4 linked regions of the Schizosaccharomyces pombe genome follow. The main gene of each other region encodes a partner of the protein of the gene in region 4 in a complex. Each region holds a gene or a part of one and is shown on either strand. Other genes may lie near its edges. The genes, in order: rsm19, mrps17, mrps18 and mrp2.

Region 1 (3,460 bases), 2.1 Mb from region 4:
AAATGGTCGTGAAAAAATCTAAACCAAAAAATGTATGCTCCTTCTTCCTTCACAATTTACGAACCATGTAAAAGGGGAGTTTCTTTTCTCTTCTTTAAATGTTTCTTTGTTTACTTTTACTGGTAAAATCGAACCCTTTTTTCTAACTTTTTCTTTTTGTAGCAAATTCGCGTGGAGGATTTGGACCTTCCCAAGCTAAACACTTCTAAAAATCCCCAAACTAAGATTCAGAAAAAGGGGAAGAAGAAGGGGAAAATATTTGCTGAAACTAAGGTAATTCATTCTCACATCCATGTTCTTTCATTATAGATGTTGAAAATGCTTCCATTTACTCAACAAGTAATATTCAAAAACATTAAACAACAAAAATCTCAAGTCAGTGTGGTAGATGTTACGATGATAAATATCTCTCTATATAAATCCTACAAATCTTGTTTATAAACTTTCAAGGCCCTGAACCCTATTCTTCCGCATTCGTTCCTCTTTACCACCAGATCCGACAAATAAGGTTTTAAGTGAACTTGCTGCGCTTTTTGAGTCATGTAATCTAATTTTTGATCTGATTTGGTTTGTTTGTTTTTTTACTTTTTGATTTTAATTGATGGGCATTCCTTCATCTATTTATTCATTTTCCACATTCATTGTTCATTAACTAATTGCTGTTACAGGATGACCTTCAAAATATTCTCAATCAAGTTACTTATGAGCTTGACGATAAAATAAAATCTAAACTTCAAGTGGCTGTAAGTATTTCCATGAATTATTTTGATTTCAAGTTTCAGTCAATTTACTAACTATTTACGTTAGCACGAGCGCGAAGCCGTCTTTTCTAAACAATCTGACAGAAAAATCAGCAATAACAAAGCTGATAAAAAGACGGGTCGGAAAAACGAAAAGAAATGAGTTATTCAATTGTTATAACGACACTTCCAAAGATCCTTTTTTTCGTATTGCCTTTCAATTATTAATTTTTCATTTTCTTTTGGGATATCGGGTTCATTCGGTTTTTCGATGCTGTTAATTATTCATTATACAGACTACTAAATAAGTACAACCAATAACATTAAACACATAAGCCATTGCGTTTCAAATTTAAAAATAAAAAATCCAAGTAGGGGAATGCAAAATTCTTTTGTAAAACATTGACAGAAAATTATGCAACATCATATCACTTTTTCATACATACATTTATACGTGCAAGTACATCCATTGGAAGAAGTGCTGTCATTAAAAGCCTGAAAGTAATGAAAAGATTCGGCGAATTATATATTCGCTTTCTTACAGGAAATGTCCTACAAAATACTAATATGGTAGCTCCATTTAAAGTCACGAATTGAAATTTTGAGGCAGACTTGAAATTCTTGGTAGTTATGAATCCATGTGAAAAGTGTTTTGAATAGGCCATATAGCCCAGTTTTCGCCAAGAATCCAAAATAATTACCGATTTTTAGTTTGTCTGTAATGAAATGCTTTTCTGGTAGGTGCAAATTCACCTAATTTATGCCCGATCATATCTTCTGTAATTTTTACATTGGCATATGATTTACCATTATGAACCATAAATTGAGCACTAGAATTTAGTTAGTTAACGTCCACACTTGCTAAATACGAGTATCATACCCAACCATTCTAGGTAAAATAGTTGCAGATCGCACAGCTGTTTTTATAGGAACGTTTCCTTTAATACATTGCTGAACGTTGACACCGAAATCGACCACGTTGGGTCCTATAATGTCAGAATAACAGGTTCTAAATTATTTTCAAAACAAGTATATTTATATTCATTTACCTTTCCAGACTGACCGAGCTCTGGCTACACTAGTCCAAAACATGAGGTGAAATGTTAGAAAGCTAGTTAATTGCTAATGCAGCAATCGTTAATAAATGTGAGGTAGCAACCTGGTGTTGTTACTTCCACTTCGTTTTAACCATTGAACGAGGTGGAGGTGCCAAGTCCTACTCTCCAACTACCACTAACAGCGAATATTTGCATTTCTCGTCTGCTAGATTCGTATTAATAACAGAGATGGAAGGCTCTGATTTTATTTTGGTAGTTGACTCTTCCGTAGAGGAACAGGTATGTCGCTAATGACTCGGCGATTTTTGGTAAAACTTTTTTCAACTAACGAAATTTCAAAAGGTGGAAGAATTGGCTATGTATTTGGATAATCTTGAGGCTAATACCGATAAAAATGTACTTGCTCTTTGCCGAGAATATTTGGCTTCTGAAAATGTTAAAGAAGTTCTTAATCTGTTTCTGACTCGCTTGCCATTGTTGGCACAAGCACCTGAGAAAGGTAATGCAAAATAGTTTTAGGCTAGGAAATTAAAGAATTATTTTAATAAGTGCTAAAGGGCATTTGTTATATTGTTAGTTCTGAAAGTATACTATGAGCTGATGTGTTTGGTTTGCAGCTTTCCAAGTTTTCGCTTATTTTCTCTTCCATGCTATTACTAACACGAAACAGAACTCGAGCCTATTTTAGCCGTCTTTATTAATCTTATCCAAGAATCTGCTGCTTTCGAAGATCATGTTTCTAAATTTTGCCAAGCCTTAGAGCAGATTGCCGATCAAAACAACAATCTCACTCCTGCCATACTCAGTGTCTTAAGCATTTTATTTAATACGGCCGTCAAAGAACGTCAACACGCACGTTTAAGCATTCTTACTAGTGTTGTTACTCTCACTACCCGTTATTCCTTGTTTAGCACTCTTGCACCTAATTTGAAATACTTCCCTGACTGGCTTAAAGAAGCTGGTGTCAGTGTATCGGACCATCGGGCATTTAATATTTTTGTTTCTAAAGCTATTCAATCATACGATGATGAGCAATCATTTGCTTTCCTTTTGGAAGCCGTAAAAATGGACAACTCAACTGCTGACGAGGCGGTTCGCGAATTAGTTCAACGCGCTGTTAACAGCCCTAAGTACTTTTTCTTTGATGATATTGTCACCCTTCCACCCGTTCAGCAGCTTGAACAAAGTACTTTACAGTTACTTGGTATTTTGTCCGGCGGGATGACCGACGATTATGTAAGTTGGGTTGCCGAAAACCATGCTCATTGCCAACACCAAAAATTTGATGAAGATGCAATTGCACGTAAGATGAAACTTTTAACTATTGCTTCATTAGCTACCCAGGCTCCCAATAATACATTATCCTATGGTGATGTAGCCAAGAGTTTGAAGATTGATGAAAATGAAGTAGAATTATGGATCATTGATGTTATTCGTGCTGGACTTGTTGAAGGCCGCATGTCTCAGTTGACTAAAACGTTATCCATTCACCGTAGCAGCTATCGTGTCTTTGGTAAGCACGAATGGGTTGCTTTACACGAAAAATTAGCTAAATGGGGTTCAAGTTTACGTTACATGCTACAAGTAATGGAGCAACCTTTATCTAGCTTTACTATAGCCTCTAGCAAAAAGGGAAATAGAGACGGATCCGCGGTCACAGCC
Region 2 (3,056 bases), on a different chromosome or scaffold from region 4:
ATCTAACCAGACACCAAGGTGCAAATGTGTTCTGTTGAGAAAATTGTGAGGTTGAGGCATAACTTGTTGTGTCACGTTCGAATTCATTTTAAAACAAAAGAAGACCTTGATATTCGGGCTTTCCTTTTTTCCCTACAGCGTGAATTGCATGCAGTTGCATTTCTCAACCAAGGATCCATCCGCACGCTCTACGAGAAAAGAGTAGTGGATATTACGAGTGAATCGGTCCAAAGCCATGCAATCATCGAAACTGCTAGAAATTTTGCACTACCAAATACTGCTGAAGAGGAGGAAAACATGGATCGAAAGCCAGAATTGCAGTTGAGTTTTAAAGGATCAATGACTAGTAAAATAATACATATTTATGTACAACCATTCGATTCATGAAAGAATGTATTTTGCGCCTTTTTACGTCTGCATGACTAAAATACACTCTATTTACAGCCTAATCTCATAAAAAACAAGTATTAAAAATTTGAGAAGTGAAAAAGCTGCTCAATTTAACTCGTATTCGTATTTTGGCGGATCACGTTCTTCTATACTTTTAACTACATCTTCTTATGACACGGATTACAAAGGCTTAAAAAATATAAGAGTTATTTCGATCCCAATTTTCAATTTTCAAACCAAAAACTTGAATTTTTATTATCCCCCAAAATACAAAAAAGATAAAACCAATTGCTCCCAGCAATAATGCTCATTTAATGATACCAAAAGATATAAGAATAGTACATCCTCTTTAACGACGTCTTTTCTGGACAACGGTGAATCCATCATCATCAACAATGGGTCCCTGCTGCTTTTCCTGCTGATTTTGAGCAGCTCCTCCATCCTCAGCATCAACAATCGTTTCGTCTTCTACCAATACCGGAGGATTTGACTCTTCTCTAGTTTTTTCCTTTCCTTCCTCCTTTTCAAGCAATTGTTTTCCGAGACGCTCATGGATTTCACGAATAGGTTCATAATTATCTTCGCAAGCAGCTTTCCACACATTAACCAAATCTTGAGCCAACTAAATAGACTGTTAATAGACGTATCACTTGATAATTATTTTAAATGCTAATAGAAGTAAAAAATTTTTAATATAGACAACAGAACGCAATATGTGTATAAACTCGAGCTTTTGACTAATATTCCAATATTTCGTCCTCAAACTTAAATCATTTTTTCGGTGCCAATATATATATACGAATCTTCAGTCTCAAGCAAGCTTGTTACGTTCTTTCTTGTTTGAAAAAAATCTTTACCTAATTTAGTATTGGTGAATACTTACGATATAGGGTGAGTCGTCTTCTATTGAACCAACATTGAATTCATCCTGCAGGACTTGAAGAATCAATTCTTCAACGTCCCATGCTTCCACATCGCTCGTAACTGTAATATAATCAACTAAAACTCCTGCCATCCAGTCTCGTTTATCGGCGGTATCGACATCGGCCCATTCTTCTTCAACAGCCTGTTTCATAACAGGCCATGAACATAAAAGAACACCGACAGCATATTCAAAATATGTCAGTCTCTTAGATGGGTCGTCAAACATGGCGAAAACACAGTGTCAATAACCCTCGTTCTTCTTCTCTACAAAGTCACCCTACCATAAAGTACTTTAAAATAAAATACACATACTTTTCCGATCCTCGTTATGTTGTTTATCACATTTATATATTATCATTAATTGACTTAAGGAAAGCTTATTTATGTTAAATAATTATAAGGGAAAAGACGCCGCTTCATTGCACATTTGTAAATAGGGCAATGTCAAAACTCTCTACTGCTAAAACGGTGCGCATTGATAACTTAGTTATTGTGGGTATTTAAAGGATTAGACTTACTTACTTTTCTTGTTTAATCCTAAAATTACTCTGAAGAATGAAGCTAAATTATGTGGGAATCGTGATTTCTCGTGCAATGCCAAAAACAGCGAAAGTGCGGGTTGCAAAAGAAAAGTTCCATCCAGTGGTGAAAAAGTATGTCACCCAATATCAAAACTATATGGTTCAAGATGATTTAAATTGTAATGTTGGAGATGCAGTTACAATACAGCCATGTAGGCCTCGGTCAGCGACTAAACGCTTTGAAATCATAAAAATCTTAAGCACAGCCAACCGTATGAGCCCAGCATCGGAGATTTCGAAAGAGTAAATAAAAAATCCCCATTAATTTTTGATGATTCCTAATGATTTCGATTGATCCATTGTGATAAGTCTTTCGCGGTGGTCATGAATATTGTAAATCGGTGATTGACCGCTCTTTCTTAACTTGCCAATTACCTGTATACACCGATATCGATTTTAACTGGAAATTTTTACATTCACAATGGCTACGTAATGTTGCAAATTGTAGATTGTGCATCAGAAGAGTCTCAAATCACATTCATTTCTAAAAGAAAACTACTCTTGTAGTACCATGTTTCCTGCTCCCAGCATTCAATGCCTTTAAATTTGTTTACAACTATGTCAATAATACTTCTGTAACATCTTTTTTTGTAAAAAGGGCAAGTGATTGAACAAGATGCATATAGACAGTAATATATTCAAAATAAAGCTTACAAAACATAATAAGTTGGGATTAAGTCTTAAGCAAATTTAAAACATCGTATACATTAACCCATAGCTGTATATCTTAACAAACTGGGGAATCATGAAAATACGTTGCAAACGATTGAATGAAAAACATACTTGTTCAACTAAGACGGTGCTCATAAGAAAGCGACAATGTATAAAGGATCATGACTAAAGCTTTAGCATGTCAGTAGGTCCTTTCGAAGAGCAAAACAGTCAGTAGCATATTTTATTAACAAAAAAATGAGCAAAGGATTCAACTTAATTAATACAAAGCTTTCAATCCCATCTCTACAGCAGCTGATCCCCAATCATTTCCATGGTTATGGCCACCATTCAAACCTGCACGATAAAGAGCTTGCTCTTCATTTAAAACTGTTAATAGACCTAGAATGACGGGAACACCTGAATCAAGGCCAACGCGCATAAGACCATGAACAACAGCTTCTGAAATATATTCAAAATGCATGGTGGAACCTTTGATTAAAACGCCAA
Region 3 (2,990 bases), 2.5 Mb from region 4:
TAATGATTTATGTGTTATATCCACATCTTCACTGCCATCTGTACTTCAAAAAACAAGTTTTATGTACATATCTGATATTTATGTAAACGAAGATGACATTGTCTGTTTCCAAGGCTCACTATGGACACAAATTGACAAAAATGCACTCGATTATAATGACAGCGCTGACAATATTGATGAACATAAGGATGACTTAAAAGAATTACCAAGAAGATTACAAATGGTATCAAAACTATCAAACACATATTTTCGTTGCCTGCATGATAAATCTGTCGAGTACGTCTGCCCATTCGCAGATGTTTTGGGAAGATGGTATGAGCCTTGGTTCGTAAAAGGAGATTTAAATTACACTTCAGAAGTGAAAGAACGCACATCCAGTCGATTATCAGCAGTAGGCTCTGAAAATTGGGTCGATGACGATTTTTATGAATATTTACTGTCTGAAATTGATATGGTGTCAGCAGTTGTAATGTAATAAGTATGGCAGATAAAATTAGATATAGAAGTGTCTACTTATTGATCAGTGACGGTCATTATTTATAATGTAAATAATATGGGAATAATAATGTCTTTTGCATTTCATAAATTACAGAGAAAGATAGGTAAAAACTATTTGTGTTGAATTAGAGATGGGATATAGTTTTTTTTAAGAAATCATGTTGCACTATCACACCGGTATTAATAAATCATTTCTAAGTTCAGAAGGTCAAATACAACGGTGGAAAAGCACCAACAATGTTGGGCAGCAGATTAACTGCACAGGAAGATTACGTAAACGAAGAAAACAGAAAAGTAATATAAACATACTTCATATGCGTCGCTCCCTTCTACCTCTCGGTCCTCCAAATTTAATAGGTGTTCGATCCATAACCTTTACAATTTTGTCTCGAATTACGGCACCTTCTTGCCCTAATAAACAATTTTGTACTGCTTCCCTGGCCTGACTAAAACCATGAAATATAACATGCAAATTTTCAATACCAAGGCGCTTTACTTGGATTTGTTCCAGCACCTTGGAGCAAATGGTATAAGCAGCATCGTAGCCACGGCGCTTTCCTTTACGAAAACCACAGGTTCCTCCAGAGGCCCTAAAAATAATTTTTCTTTCAGGAGAACAAAGTGTAATGTGAGTGTTGTTCTTCAAACATTTGGCATGAAGGTAAAATGGCATTGGAATGGTATCCGTACCTTGCATAATCGGATTTGGCTCCTCCGTCCTTTTTGAAAAAGCTTTTGGAGTGATTGTGGATTCTAAAAGAGAAGAGAGTTCCTTTTTGGGCGCATTCCGCCTAGGACTCTGGCTCCAAAATCTTCGTAGTCCAACTTTTGTTAAATTAAGCATTAGATATTTGATGAAAAATAGCTTGCTAAGAACCGATTTGTAAACCAAAAATAAAATCAAAGAACTAAAAAATATGGATGAAAATGTAAAGGAAATGAAAAATGACAAATTGTAAGTAACCGAGTGCTTCAATACCATAATTTCTATACCAGGTAACTTATGTTACTCAACCTGTGGTAGTGGTATGAACGTGTAAATATTAACCTAAAACACTCTTCTCGTTTTAAAGAAAAAATAAAGAAATAAAAAATTAAAAATCTTACTTTGGTGGCTGCCTTAAAAGTTTTTCAAACGGATCATTTGGGATACCCAACGACTGTAATTTAAACGAAGATTGGTGAATTGAAAACACAAATATAACCCATCTTTTGAACAGTGAAGATTTTGCAATGATACCAAATGAGAAGCTAAAACTATTAGGTTTATTATCAATTTCTTTTTTTCTTCAATGGTATTTAGCAAACACTTGGATTGCTGAATTCCTTTACAGGCGAATCGAAGTATCGACGCCTGTATCCGGATTTTTACGTGTTCGTGAAGGACTTTACTTGTATGAAAACGGACTAGACCCCTATTCTGGTGGTGTTTTCTATCAGTCTCCACTTCTACTGATCTTAAATTATTGTTGTGAGTTGCTTGGAGGAATATCTGTCACCAGATTTGTTTATACTAGCATTTCTACTATGGGAGGTCTCTTTGTGTATTTAATTGCAAAACAAGCTCGTGTTTTAGACCCAAATCAAGTACTATCTACTTGTTCACCATTATGGATTTCCGTCATGTAAGTTACGCATATGGCTTGCGACAAAAAAAGTGAGACATTCTTCAAAAAAATGAAAAGCATTGTATCGTTGGTTTACAAAATTGTTAACGATGACTGTTCAAAGATTGAACTGCGTTGATTACACAGATTTCGTAGTCGATATTGAAAATGTGTACTTCTGTGATATATTTGTGTCGCAAACAAGTATCCTTAACTCAAAATTTACTAACAAAATATTACTTTAGTTATCTGCTTAACCCATTAACATTTCTTCCAGGAATTGCTTGCTCCGCAGACATGATACTTAATTTCACCACTCTAATGACCATTTATTTCGCCTCTTGCGGATCCTATGCAATTTATGCATGCTGTATGGCATTGACTGTATTCATTAATCCTAACGCTTTACTGTTATTTTTCCCCTCCTATCTTATTTTAAGAAAATGCAATTCATCCATTAAATTTCGTCAGATATTCGTTGTTTTTCTTTTTTATCTTGCAGGTCTGATAATAACTTCAGGCTTCTTTCTGAACTCGTTATCTTTTTTGAAAATTCCATTTAGGGTATACTTGGACTCTCATGATCTAACTCCGAATTTGGGTCTCTGGTGGTATTTTTTTACAGAAATGTTCAATGAATTTCGCACATTCTTCCTTTTTGTATTTGCCATTTTACCATTGATGTTTGTTCTCCCTGTTTCGATCCGTCTTTATTATCTGCCCTTGCCTATTACTATTGCTCTTATTGGCCTGCATTCTTTATTCAAAGCTTACCCAAGTATTTGTGATCTTTCAATATTTTTATCTCTCCTCCCAATTTTTAATAAAGTCCAAGACCGAATGCGATATAGCTTGCTTACAAATAATGCTATTGTGTTTGCGCTT
Region 4 (3,269 bases):
CAACGGCGGTAAAGGCATTGGGTGATTTTGCTAGTGCTAACATTTCTATGGCCCCCTCTTGTCTTAACACTTTATTGCTGTTACTTAAATCACATAATAGCCTTATCGTGACAGAAGCTGCCTCTTCACTTCGGCTTCTCATTCATAATGATCCTAAAGAAATATATCTGCAGTATTTAGCTGCAACGTATGAAACTTTGGAAGTACCGCGGGCCAAATCCGTTACACTATGGCTTATTTCGGAGCATATACTAATCATACCGCGACTAGTCCCTGATGTGCTACGCATTGCTGTTAAAACTTTTGCTGATGAGACATTAGAAGTGAAGTATCAAATTCTCGAATTATCGGTAAGACTATATGTTTTGTCTCATTCTGAAGAGAAGCAAAACGATTTAGAGTCAAGAGATGATGTCGTGTCACTACTTTTTAATTATGTTTTATCTTTGATACACTTTGACATGAGTTACGATTTACGAGATAGAGCTAGGTTTTACAAAGAACTAGCTAGTACACCGAGTTCTGAATTTACTAGGCGCATCGTATTGGAAAGCAAGGGGAATAGTCAAAAAGAAATTATTGCTTCTCGGGACTACTGCATTGGTACCGCTAGTTTATGTTTGAATGAAGACGTGATGGGATATGAGCCAATCCCTAACTGGGCTGATGTCTCTGATTTACCGCCTGATTCTGTCCGAGAAGGTATCAAGGATGTTTTGCCAATAAACCCTCATACGGGAAATATTTATTCAAACAATTCACCGGGTGTGAAAGCATTATCTTCTGATAACTTTAAACGTGATTTTGGAGATACTAACGCAATTAACCGTCCAAAATTTGTTGGCCAGCAAACGCTTGAAGAATTTTATGCTAGTGAAACTTCTGAAAGTTCTGAAGGAGAATATGAAACATCAACCAGTGAAAGTGAAGATGAAGAAACGGATGATACTTCTCAAGAGGAAGACAACGAAAAAAATAGTACACCTGATGAAGATACAGAGAACAACAATACCAGTTCTATATCTACTAAAAGTATAATGGATAGGCCGCTCACAGAACCTGAACCTAACTATTGGCAATCATAAACAATTGATAATGTAAATATTCAGTTTTGGAATGTAATCATGCAAATAATTGTACTTCATTTAAACGGCGAATAAATATTAGCTAATAATAAACATGATGGATTCACGGAAGATAATTAAAGCTTTTTATTTCAATAACGCTTATCATGGATTGAAATACAAACAACGATTATTACCATGATGCCTTGCTGAATGGATTAGTGACAAAAGTAAAAATGCTTATTCTTACCGAACTCCGGGTAATTTATTAGCTAGTGCTTTAAGTCGAAAAGGAAACTGAAATAGTCAGCATCAAAAATGCATTTATATGACATTATAATCGTACCCTTGCAAGTCCAAACGCACGAAATACACCTCGGCCTCTACCTGTCTCAATACAGCGATTTTTTATTTTTGTAGGATGTGCATTAGTCGGTAAAGCCTCAATCCGCTTTTTGGCTTCTAAACGCACCCGAAGAGGTAGCTCAGGATTTCTATATATATAGAGATTGCTTTGACGTTCAACTTCGTGTTCAGCAAAAAGTCTCCTACATAATAAATCACGAAATGCTTTATGCTTCAGGTGGCCCAAAGCCCTCATATTTTTTATTTCTGGTTTAGAAGGCTTCTCTGTTGTGTTCAAATTGTGAGTGTATTCTCAGTAGATGAAATAGTCAAAATAAATTACGAACTGCGCTAGCGATCTGTATAATTATAGTTATTTTAATAACTATAAACAATGTGAATAAGAGAAACAAAGTAAATTAGATAATTTCTACCAAATAGTGTCACATTGTTTTTATATTAAGTATTTTTAATCGTAACCCGTTCTTTATATAAATATGGTCTTGCGTTTATATTAATTGCTTATTAACTTAATATATATAGTGGAATAAAAAATAATAAATACCGTAATTATCACTTTGAAGCACTGAGGAAATATTGAACATTTACAACATTAAATAGGAGTGCTTCAAATAATATAAATTTCATATGTATGCAGTAAAAGAATCTGCATAAGATTTTACATGGATGAAGCTTTTTGATGAGCGATTTCATGACTTTAACTTTGGAGCTGCAAAGTTGGATTCCAAAGCATGAACATAGATATTACCAGCGGCTTCTTCTTGAGCACAAGTGGCAATTGCAAGCATGCTTCCGTCAACATTAAAAGAAATAGATGATATATTGATCTTTGAAGGATTTAACACTCTTAATCGTTTTCGGACTTGTATATCCCAAAACGCAACAACGCCATCTCCCCCAGCAGTTGCCAATGTTTGATGAATCGGATGAAATTTTAGGTCGTTAACTGGATAAACAATATCGTAGTCCTTTTGTATCTGCCGATGGCATTTAAAGGTAAAATTTTTGCTTTGCGCTTCCTGAGACGGGTTAATATATTCAACAGATGTCCTTCCCTCAATGCTGGAAGAAACGAATCCCTCAAAATTTTGGTTACAGCAAACACTTCGAGTCATATACTTAAAACTAGAAGGACGTCGCTGAAATGGAAGTTTTAAATTTCGAATATCGTACACCAAATTTTCTCTTTCTGAACAGCCTAGAACCAATATATTATCTCTCGAGCTACTTGCAAAAATTTTTTTTCCTATATCCTGTCCCTCGACAGGTTGCTTTACGCGAACATCCCAAACACGAAATGATTTGTCCCAAGACCCACTAATGAAACAGTCTAAAATGTTAATAGAATAGCTGGCTAATAAAATATATATCTTACTTTCCAAACGCAACTTAGAAATGCACGATACCCCCTTACCGTGGTTTCCTAAAAACTCATGGTTTCGCGTATTAAGATCGAGGGTAGTAACTGTCCCATCTAAATTTCCTACTAAAGCAGTTTTTTCATCTGTATATTCTAAAGAAAGAATAGGACTTGATAAATCGTATTTCCCTAAAAGTTCGGGATTTTCCGAGATTTGATAATGCAGTAAGCTACCATCCCAGCACCCTGCAATTAGTTCGTTTTTGACAGAGGGTGAAAATATTACACTTGAAATCCCGTCTTTTGAATTTTTTAGTAATGTTTTTGAGAAATTCATGGCAGACTGACAGATGACATGAAAAAGGAGTTTGGCGAGGTATAGGCCTTTAAATGTTGCTTCAAAAGGACAACGTCGAAGTTCGATGGTAATTGACCGAATTTTACGAAGATGAATTTCCAACGATGCCGATTATATTAGG

Evidence for each region.
Region 1: mrp2 (region 4) and rsm19 share a complex: the UniProt entries of both Schizosaccharomyces pombe proteins name them as parts of the mitochondrial small ribosomal subunit.
Region 2: mrp2 (region 4) and mrps17 share a complex: the UniProt entries of both Schizosaccharomyces pombe proteins name them as parts of the mitochondrial small ribosomal subunit.
Region 3: mrp2 (region 4) and mrps18 share a complex: the UniProt entries of both Schizosaccharomyces pombe proteins name them as parts of the mitochondrial small ribosomal subunit.

Annotation. Positions count from the first base shown.
Region 1 is NC_003424.3:384,318-387,777, forward strand, and holds rsm19 (mitochondrial 37S ribosomal protein uS19m), read right to left. Parts: upstream 1,854-3,460; 5' UTR 1,833-1,853; coding exon 1,790-1,832; exon of another isoform or gene 1,727-1,789; coding exon 1,621-1,726; exon of another isoform or gene 1,571-1,620; coding exon 1,438-1,570; 3' UTR 904-1,437; coding exon of another isoform or gene 808-903; 3' UTR 744-807; coding exon of another isoform or gene 669-743; 3' UTR 569-668; downstream 1-568. Other genes in the region: pre-ribosomal protein Loc1, read left to right, coding at 3-32, 163-273, 669-743, 808-903; tif313 (translation initiation factor eIF3m), read left to right, coding at 2,027-2,077, 2,141-2,297, 2,469-3,460. UniProt on the Schizosaccharomyces pombe protein: Component of the mitochondrial ribosome (mitoribosome), a dedicated translation machinery responsible for the synthesis of mitochondrial genome-encoded proteins, including at least some of the essential transmembrane subunits of the mitochondrial respiratory chain.
Region 2 is NC_003423.3:1,166,018-1,169,073, reverse strand, and holds mrps17 (mitochondrial 37S ribosomal protein uS17m), read left to right. Parts: upstream 1-1,776; 5' UTR 1,777-1,869; coding exon 1,870-2,142; 3' UTR 2,143-2,554; downstream 2,555-3,056. Other genes in the region: DNA recombination protein Saw1, read left to right, coding at 25-387; rRNA processing protein Tsr2, read right to left, coding at 740-1,012, 1,274-1,540; rib4 (6,7-dimethyl-8-ribityllumazine synthase), read right to left, coding at 2,827-3,056. UniProt on the Schizosaccharomyces pombe protein: Component of the mitochondrial ribosome (mitoribosome), a dedicated translation machinery responsible for the synthesis of mitochondrial genome-encoded proteins, including at least some of the essential transmembrane subunits of the mitochondrial respiratory chain.
Region 3 is NC_003424.3:4,966,415-4,969,404, forward strand, and holds mrps18 (putative mitochondrial ribosomal protein subunit S18), read right to left. Parts: upstream 1,449-2,990; 5' UTR 1,343-1,448; coding exon 809-1,342; 3' UTR 576-808; downstream 1-575. Other genes in the region: SHREC complex subunit Clr2, read left to right, coding at 1-475; gab1 (Pig-U family GPI transamidase subunit), read left to right, coding at 1,732-2,123, 2,351-2,990. UniProt on the Schizosaccharomyces pombe protein: Component of the mitochondrial ribosome (mitoribosome), a dedicated translation machinery responsible for the synthesis of mitochondrial genome-encoded proteins, including at least some of the essential transmembrane subunits of the mitochondrial respiratory chain.
Region 4 is NC_003424.3:2,504,180-2,507,448, forward strand, and holds mrp2 (mitochondrial 37S ribosomal protein uS14m), read right to left. Parts: upstream 1,706-3,269; 5' UTR 1,666-1,705; coding exon 1,411-1,665; exon of another isoform or gene 1,362-1,410; coding exon 1,315-1,361; exon of another isoform or gene 1,274-1,314; coding exon 1,258-1,273; 3' UTR 1,086-1,257; downstream 1-1,085. Other genes in the region: AP-3 adaptor complex subunit Apl6, read left to right, coding at 1-1,085; mitotic spindle checkpoint WD repeat protein Bub3, read right to left, coding at 2,120-2,760, 2,806-3,127. UniProt on the Schizosaccharomyces pombe protein: Component of the mitochondrial ribosome (mitoribosome), a dedicated translation machinery responsible for the synthesis of mitochondrial genome-encoded proteins, including at least some of the essential transmembrane subunits of the mitochondrial respiratory chain.